2 linked regions of the Bombyx mori genome follow. The protein of the gene in region 1 interacts with the protein of each later gene in a pairwise test. Links are inferred from orthologs where the notes say so. Each region holds a gene or a part of one and is shown on either strand. Other genes may lie near its edges.

What was found.
Region 2: the proteins of kxDL motif-containing protein CG10681 (region 1) and UPF0184 protein AAEL002161 interact in binary tests that used the Drosophila melanogaster proteins (3 or more experiments, as listed by UniProt). The link is inferred for Bombyx mori from reciprocal best matches to the Drosophila melanogaster genes CG10681 and CG14818.

The regions. Positions count from the first base shown.
Region 1 is NC_085126.1:11,815,292-11,819,285, forward strand, and holds the start of kxDL motif-containing protein CG10681, read right to left. Parts: upstream 2,801-3,994; 5' UTR 2,624-2,800; coding exon 2,484-2,623; intron 1,935-2,483; coding exon 1,761-1,934; intron 938-1,760; coding exon 628-937; 3' UTR 1-627.
Region 2 is NC_085110.1:8,466,271-8,470,377, reverse strand, and holds UPF0184 protein AAEL002161, read right to left. Parts: upstream 2,631-4,107; 5' UTR 2,205-2,630; coding exon 2,105-2,204; intron 1,006-2,104; coding exon 839-1,005; 3' UTR 501-838; downstream 1-500. Other genes in the region: probable NADH dehydrogenase [ubiquinone] iron-sulfur protein 6, mitochondrial, read left to right, coding at 365-430.

The DNA.
Region 1 (3,994 bases):
TTAGTTTAATTGTGGGCTGATTTTTCAATCACTGCATCGAAATTATCAATTAATAACATTAAAAGGTAACCGAATTTTTCAAACAATTATCAACACATTTATATATCCCACTTGAATATAAAATTATTCTAGTGTTTAATATACGTAGTGTACATATTTGTTGGTTAATAAAATTACATAAATATATAAATCTTATAAAATCTAGAAAAATCAGTATGTACTTAACACATTATTATAAAAATAATAATTAAAAGTCGAGGTTATTAAGTCATTGCCTGTCATTTAAATTTCGATTCAATATAGTTTATCAAATATACGCACAAGGCAGTTCGCAAGCTGATATTTCTAGAGTTAAGTTCTGTTTGCAAAAACTGATTATTTAACTATGCAATATATAACAAAATATGATGACTTTCTTGTAGTTGTTCCACTTGGAACCTGGTTAAGCATTTTAAAAAAAATTAAGATTGCTATTGGGTCTCCATTTTTAATATATATTATTAGTAATGATTTTACCTGAATTTTACTGTCATTCTTTATTGTAATCAACAAAAAATCTAGTTATTGAAAACTCCATAGCTTTTATAAATGTTTTAGATTTGACTAATGAAAAAACAGAACCAGTTTTCAACCTGTATCAGTACTACTATCATCACCGGAACTGGCACTCTCAGTTTCCGAGGAACTACTGGTCCTGACTTTTGGACATGCAGGTTTTTTTTCTGAGCCGGCCACACTAGATTCAAAGCTTTTATTGTCTTTTTTCTTAGATTTCTTATTATAATTAGTCGGTTTCAGTGTCTCAGTTGAGACTGTAGCAACCATCTTTGATTCAGGTTTCTCCTCTGATGGCTTCAGATCTTCGTCATCTACGAGGGGTTTACGATTTGCAAGCGACTCTGCAACCGCTTCTTTGTATGCTTCTGGGTATTGAGAACTGAAAATTAATTATTTTTTAATGTAAATAAGTTTCCCTCAACTGTGGCATATCAGATGGTCTTTTTATAGAGTAATGTAAAATAATGTTTTATTAAATTTTCTTTTAATGATCATGAGCTCATTAGGTCAATTCTTCTCACAGAATTATGATTCAATAGTTGAAGCCTTAAGCTAAATTTATTGATTCATTACTTTCAGATTGACTACCTGAGCTCAGAGTAAATGTTTTGTTACACAAGAGTCCAGATAACTATTGCATCTTCTTCCTATTCGTACACTCTTGAAGAGTGGTCGTGGTCATGCATCAGTCGGATCCTGCGATACTGATGCTCTCGCGATGCGACGCCATGTGGCACGATGTTTCGCAGAGTGTGAGCAATCATTTATATTGGAGTGAGTCACAGGTTTTATGAGGTCGGTCCATCGTGTTGGAGATCGTCCGCGATATTGCATACTATTATAATAAACCGCACTGCTGTATTATGTAGTCTACAAACTGCAGTAATAGCAGATAAGCTATGAACTGTTTACCCAACTATGGCCGAAAAAAAGGTACCACATTTTTTAAATTTATGAATGTACTACTAAGCAGATTCTTTATTTATTCTATTACAGTCCGAGAGTATGAGAACATGACTCATCTGATGGTGTGAGATCTCCTCCACTCATGGATATCAACAATGCCAGGGGAACACTACTGATTACTACAGAGGGCTTTTTTAAGCCTTTAAGCCTTGTTTAATTTATTTATACTATATACTACTTATTATTATAAAAGCAAAACACAAACTTTTTCTTTTTAAAAAAGAAATCAAACAAACCTGAGCTTGGTTTTAATTGCCCGAATTTTCTTAAATATGAATTCCAAATCCTTCCTCATTTCGAACAGTAGTTGTGTGTGTTTCTTGAACTCTGTGGATGCAGCCCTTAATCTACTGGCCGACAGCTGATTACAATTTGTCAGCATTTCTGTTGTTTTTTCAAATCTCTGCAACCTAAGAAAACTTTATTCGAGCGGGATTTATTTGGTAACAAAACAAAATCACCTTGTCAAATAATTTTGTTCTGCTGAGGCAGAAAATATAAAAATGAATTATGAGAGATATAAATTAAAATGCCCATATACTGTATTTTAAGGTTTTATTTTTTATTGCTTAGTTGGGTGGACGAGCTCACAGCCCACCTGGTGTTAAGTGGTTACTGGAGCCCATAGACATCTACAATGTAAATGCGCCACCCATCTTGAGATATAAGTTCTAAGGTCTCAGTATAGTTACAATGGCTACCCCACCCTTCAAACCGAAACGCATTACTGCTTCACGGCAGAAATAGGCAGGGCGGTGGTACCTACCCGCGCGGACTCACAAGAGGTCTTACCACCAGTTCTGATACATATTTTATTTCAGCGAGTGTATCATTAAATTTCATACTGATTTTCATTTGTTGCTCACAAATAATTTTTAAGTTTGAAAAAATTAATAGGTATAATAATTAGGAATTCGCTTTTTTGGTTTAAGTTAAATTCTCAATTGGCTCGTACTTACATATTCTTTTGTGCTCGAATAATCACTTCAACGTCAGTCTGATCCACCATACCGGCTAGGCCTTGAACAAAAACTTCGGGCGCAGTGTAGTTCTGGAAGCATTCTATCGAGAAATCACTTTCTGGAGTACCGTTCGCCATTATTTATTGTTTTCGTACACAATACATTATATTTATACACAAATTTCTTGATATTTTGGTCTTTCATTAAAACAAGCAAATGTGTCTAATGTGTCAGTGTCAGTATAAAAGTAGTTTTATTTTTTCAATTGGCAATGCAAAAGGTATCATACCATACAGCTGAATCGTTATATTTTTTTTTTCTGAAAAATAATATTAAGAAATGAAATTAAATTAAACTATATGAAATGAGATGAGATTCTTCGAGTTTGAATATGTAAGTAATGGCAGGTAATACGTATGGTTACAGTTTGTTTAAAACTTTACAAATGTTTAAAACAGACGATTGTCTTCTCTTCAGTGACGACAATGACTTCTCATCTAGACACAGACAGTGCAACATCTTAAGCTTTTATAAAAATGAAATATTGTAATGGTGTAATAGTGTACAAAGTATTTGCAATATCATTATATTAACCACTAGCGACCCGCCTTCTCTTCGCTTCGGAAACATGAAACCAAAAAAAATAAATAAAAAAAAGTAGCCTATGTTCATCAGGGACAATGTCGGCTTCTAATGGAAAAATAATTTTTCAAATCGGTTCAGTAGTTTCGGAGCCTATTCGAAACAAACAAACAAACAAATCTTTCCTCTTTATAATATTAGTATAGATGAAGCAGTGTTTTTTAAATAGCCCCTCATCTCCTCCAGAACCCAATCCCCTCAAATAAAACTGTCTAACAGAGATGATATGGAATGAAATATAATCTCAGTAAAATGGTGGTCATTTGCTGAGATATTTTCAGTGGACATTTTGGAGGATCCCGAGAACTTACGTCCAGCGTCTTTGTTTCATTTTCCCACATTTGTGCACTTTCACAGATATTAAACAGTTAAGAAACCACCGTTATTACACAATTGAACCCGAAGAAACACTAAATAGACAAAATAAAACAAATCACACAACTTCACTTCTCGCGCTCCCGCCAAAAAGTCCTCATATATTTTTCTCGTAAAACTAGCAAAGAGTAGGTATTTAACACTAACGTATGTGTGAGGCCATGTTAACAAAGATGCTACTCTCCGCTTATTTCCTCCCGCATTAGGAGGAGAAATATTACACCCCCGATCACCCTCTTCGGCCAACCTATACCCTGGACCAGGAAGGTCAAGTACCTGGGAGTAACCCTGGATGCATCCATGACATTCCGTCCGCATATAAAAACAGTCCGTGACCGTGCCGCATTTATTCTCGGTAGACTCTATCCCATGATCTGTAAGCGGAGTAAAATGTCCCTTCGGAACAAGGTGACACTTTACAAAACTTGCATAAGGCCCGTCATGACTTACGTGAGTGTGGTGTTCGCTCACGCGGCCCGCACACACATAGA
Region 2 (4,107 bases), on another chromosome or scaffold:
ATAATGGCTAGACAAGGTCACAGATTACCTGGTGTTTAGTGATTACTGGGGTTTATAATCTGTTTTCTATCATCCACTCTATCTCATGTCTCATTGTTTGCTCTTTGTGTCCTAACCTTCTAACTGAAACTCATGACTGTTACATGAGGACAATTGTAATAGCCTGAGCTGAGTCACAACAGAGTACCTACCACCAGAGAACTGGACAGAAATTAGGGGTGAACATTTGGAAGTTTGGCAGAAAAGGCTAGAAGACATGTTTTTTTCTGCAAAAACAAGAAGTAGCGATCAAATAAAATGCATTTCTATAGGTTTCTTGGTACAGATGTGGTAATGGAAATCATTAATTCTTATATGTTTTCAGGATAAACCAGGTGACCATTCATGTGGATACTGTGGATTAAGATTCATAAAAAAAACTGGTCATTAAAGTTTGAACTGTCCAAGTCATCTTTTAAACGTTTTACCTGGATAATTTGTAGTTATGAGTAAATTAAAGATTGTTTTATGTTATATTATGTTTTATTGACCCATTTTTTTTCTGTGAACAATGCTCAACTAAATGTTATTGTTCATTCCTATTGACATAAATATGCAACTTATAACATTTAAATGGTGCAAACAAGATAAATAATTATTCATACTTAAATATCGTAAATGTATGATAATACATTATTTAAAACTCACGCTCACTTTGTGGTATTGGTCACTAAATATTGATAAATGGTAATATTAAGATTAACAATTTCTATTTTACACTTTTGAGACAAACAAATTACACTAGGTAACATGTATATTTGCACAATTAAATTTAAAATAGTGCTGTATTTGCATTTCTTCAATTACTGTTGTTGACTTCCTTATTTTCTTCACGCATTTCTTGTCTAATTGCAATATTGGATTGCAAAAGCTCTTTCAATTGTTGGTGAATATCATCATTTTTACGCTCCAAGAAATCCAATGCAGAATTAAGTTCATCTAATGTAGATTCTAATAATTCATACTCTGTAAAGGATTTGATAAGTTATTTAAAATTATATATTCTCATAGGTTTATTATTTTCATAATATTTTATCCTTCTGGATTGTTTTTATATTAAAATAAAGAAATAATTTACTCATTTAAAAGCTGGATTAAGATCCAAACAGGTTTTGAAAGAGATTTTCATTAAATTGTAATTATGTCAGTATAAGTCATTGCTGTCTTTGGCAGATGAATATGCAGCTCCCATAATAGTGTGATCATCATCATATCATTAACTTCTAGGTTATTAGTAATGTCAGCTGACAAAGAATCCTTTCACCAGAACCTAAGACTTTTTCGTGAGTAGAATGATTGAATGATAGGTAACGATACCATCATTTCTGTTAAAAAAAAACTCGTGGAAGAGACAATACAGTATACAAAAGAATCCATTCCTTAGGAGACCCAGTATTACCAGATATATGTGACATGAGAATGTCTGGTAAAATGGCTCATCCCTGTATGAGTTACAAGTAATTTGTAATGGAATGCTAACCCAAAATTACAAAGAACACAACAATGCCACAAAAACAATACGAACCAAAAATTCCTGAAGACTTATTCAGAGAATAAAATGACCAGCAGCAGAATGGTATAAGGATACACATTGGATATTATGAACTTATGCATAATAATATCATTTTCACTGCTATTTTAGAAATATTTAATTACTTTAAATAATCCCATTACACTGATAGTCACAGAACATGATAGTAAAAGTGTGTTTAAATATAGGAATGAAAGTGCTACAAGCAACAAAAATAAATAAAAACGAAATCAAATTTTAAAACATCAATATTTATAATTTTGTTCATAATAATTAAAATTTTACTAACACCGTAACATCATCTGAAACTTATTTATTTGAAAAAATTGGTAATGGCATTAATTTTAAAGTTTGATTCATATATTTTTTAATTAATTGCAGAAATCTGGGGATAGTACCAATACCAATGTCATGTGAATAGATAGTAATAGATACACAAAGTTTTACAATTAATTGAAATTGAAAACAGTTTTGCTATTGTTGATCTTTAGTGCTGGGGAATACGCTTGACGCTATAAATTTACTTCAATTTACCTTCTGTTATATCTTCATTGTTATCATCTTCTGGAGGTTCTATGTTTTTATTAGATCCATTTTCATTTTCACCACCATTTTTTGTATTATCACATGCCATTTTATTAGTCGTTTAATCTATGATTTTGGTTCAAGTTCAAGTGGCGAAACATAGATAATACACTGAATTTTGTCGAAATGACATTTGACAGGCTTACTTTCGTTTGTTCGATCAGTCTAAACTATAGTAGTTCAGTGGTGTAGTTAGTCCGTTGATCTTTATCGTAGCGTTTGTAATATCTTTGGTTGGGAGCATTTGGCGGCAACACCCAGTGTCAAATTGTTTTGTTATTTTATTGTTTCTGTTTAAATATGTAATATTGATGGATTATTAACCTCTTAGCATGACGCGTCTTGCACATATCCAAAATGGAAAATAAAATATATTGTAATAAGAGAAAACCTTTACTGAATATAAGGTTTTAATAAGCTAAAATTAACAATAAAATTTGCTTTTATTACATTAGGTACATACATTGACAAATAACGAATAAAACAGATTGACAATGACGTCAACTTATGGCTGATAATTTCAACTAAGAAGTTTACATCATTCTCCCGCACTATTTTAAAACATAATCTTTTGAAAATCCTGGCGTTTTATGGACGCGACCAGATCTACGAAGTGTTGGCTCCGGCGGTGGTGATGATGGTAATTCTGTCTCTAGCTCTCTGTTATTATCAAGTACCACAGGTCCCGTTTCATTAGATGAAGGAATCTCCAAGTTTTGGTCTTCTGTTTCCGGAAGTGGTTCTGCGACGTTATGATAATCAATAGTGTGTTCATTATCTATTCGCAGATCTACCCTTTCTGAACCCAATGGTGCTAGATGACGATTCGACACTGTTGTTTCTCGGCTATCTGGAAGCCGAATGTATGAAAAGTCAGGATTGCTGTGTATCAATTCAACCTCTTCTACTAATGGCTGATATTTATTTGTACGATTAAATTTCTTCATCAAGACTTGTCCAGAATTTGTAAGCCACGATGGAACAGAAGTGCCGTTTGTAGATCTTCGAGGATGTCTAAACATTCTTTCATGTGGAGTGCAATTTATGGTTGTACAAAGTAATGATCGGATTGAATGTAAGGCTTGTGGTAATACTTGTTCCCAATTTTCTACCGAAAGATTCTTCGTCTTCAGCGCCAAAAGAATCGTTCTCCAAAGAGTAGAATTCAATTTTTCTACTTGACCGTTACCTTGAGGGTTATAAGCTGTAGTTCTACTAGTGGCAATACCTCGAACATGTAAAAATTCCTGTACTTCAGCAGAAAGAAATGCTGTTCCGCGATCTGAATGAACGTAAGAAGGCATGCCAAATATTATAAACAAGTTGTTAAGATGTTTAATCACTGTTTTCGAGCTTACATCTGAGCATGGGAATGCAAACGGGAAACGTGAAAATTCGTCAATCACGGTAAGTATGAATTTGTTATTATTATTTGTTGGAACTGGTCCTTTAAAATCTATGCTAAGGCGTTCAAAAGCAGCCGTCGCTTTAACAAGTTTCCTCTGGTCATCAAAGGTATTTCGGAAGAATCTAGGTTTTATTTCAGAGCAGGTTCGACAAGATTTTGTCATTGTTCTGACTTCTTCAATAGAATAGGGAAGGTTTTTAGAGCGAACCCAGTGAAACATTCTTGTTACCCCTGGATGACAAAGAGCCTCATGCAGCGAGAAAAGTTTTGCAGTACGTGTTTCTACAGTGGCACAAACTCGGGATAGTGCATCAGCAGCATAGTTATCTTTTCCCGGTCTGTATAAAATATCGTATTTGAAAGCAGCAAGTTCCAGTCGCCATCTTTGAATCTTTTCATTCTTTATCTTACTTGAATGTTTCATATTAAACATAAAAGAAACCGAGCGTTGGTCAGTTACCAACTTAAAATGTCTACCAATAAGTAAATGTCTCCATTTCTTCAATGATTCCACAATGGCGTACGCTTCTTTTTCAATGGCGGA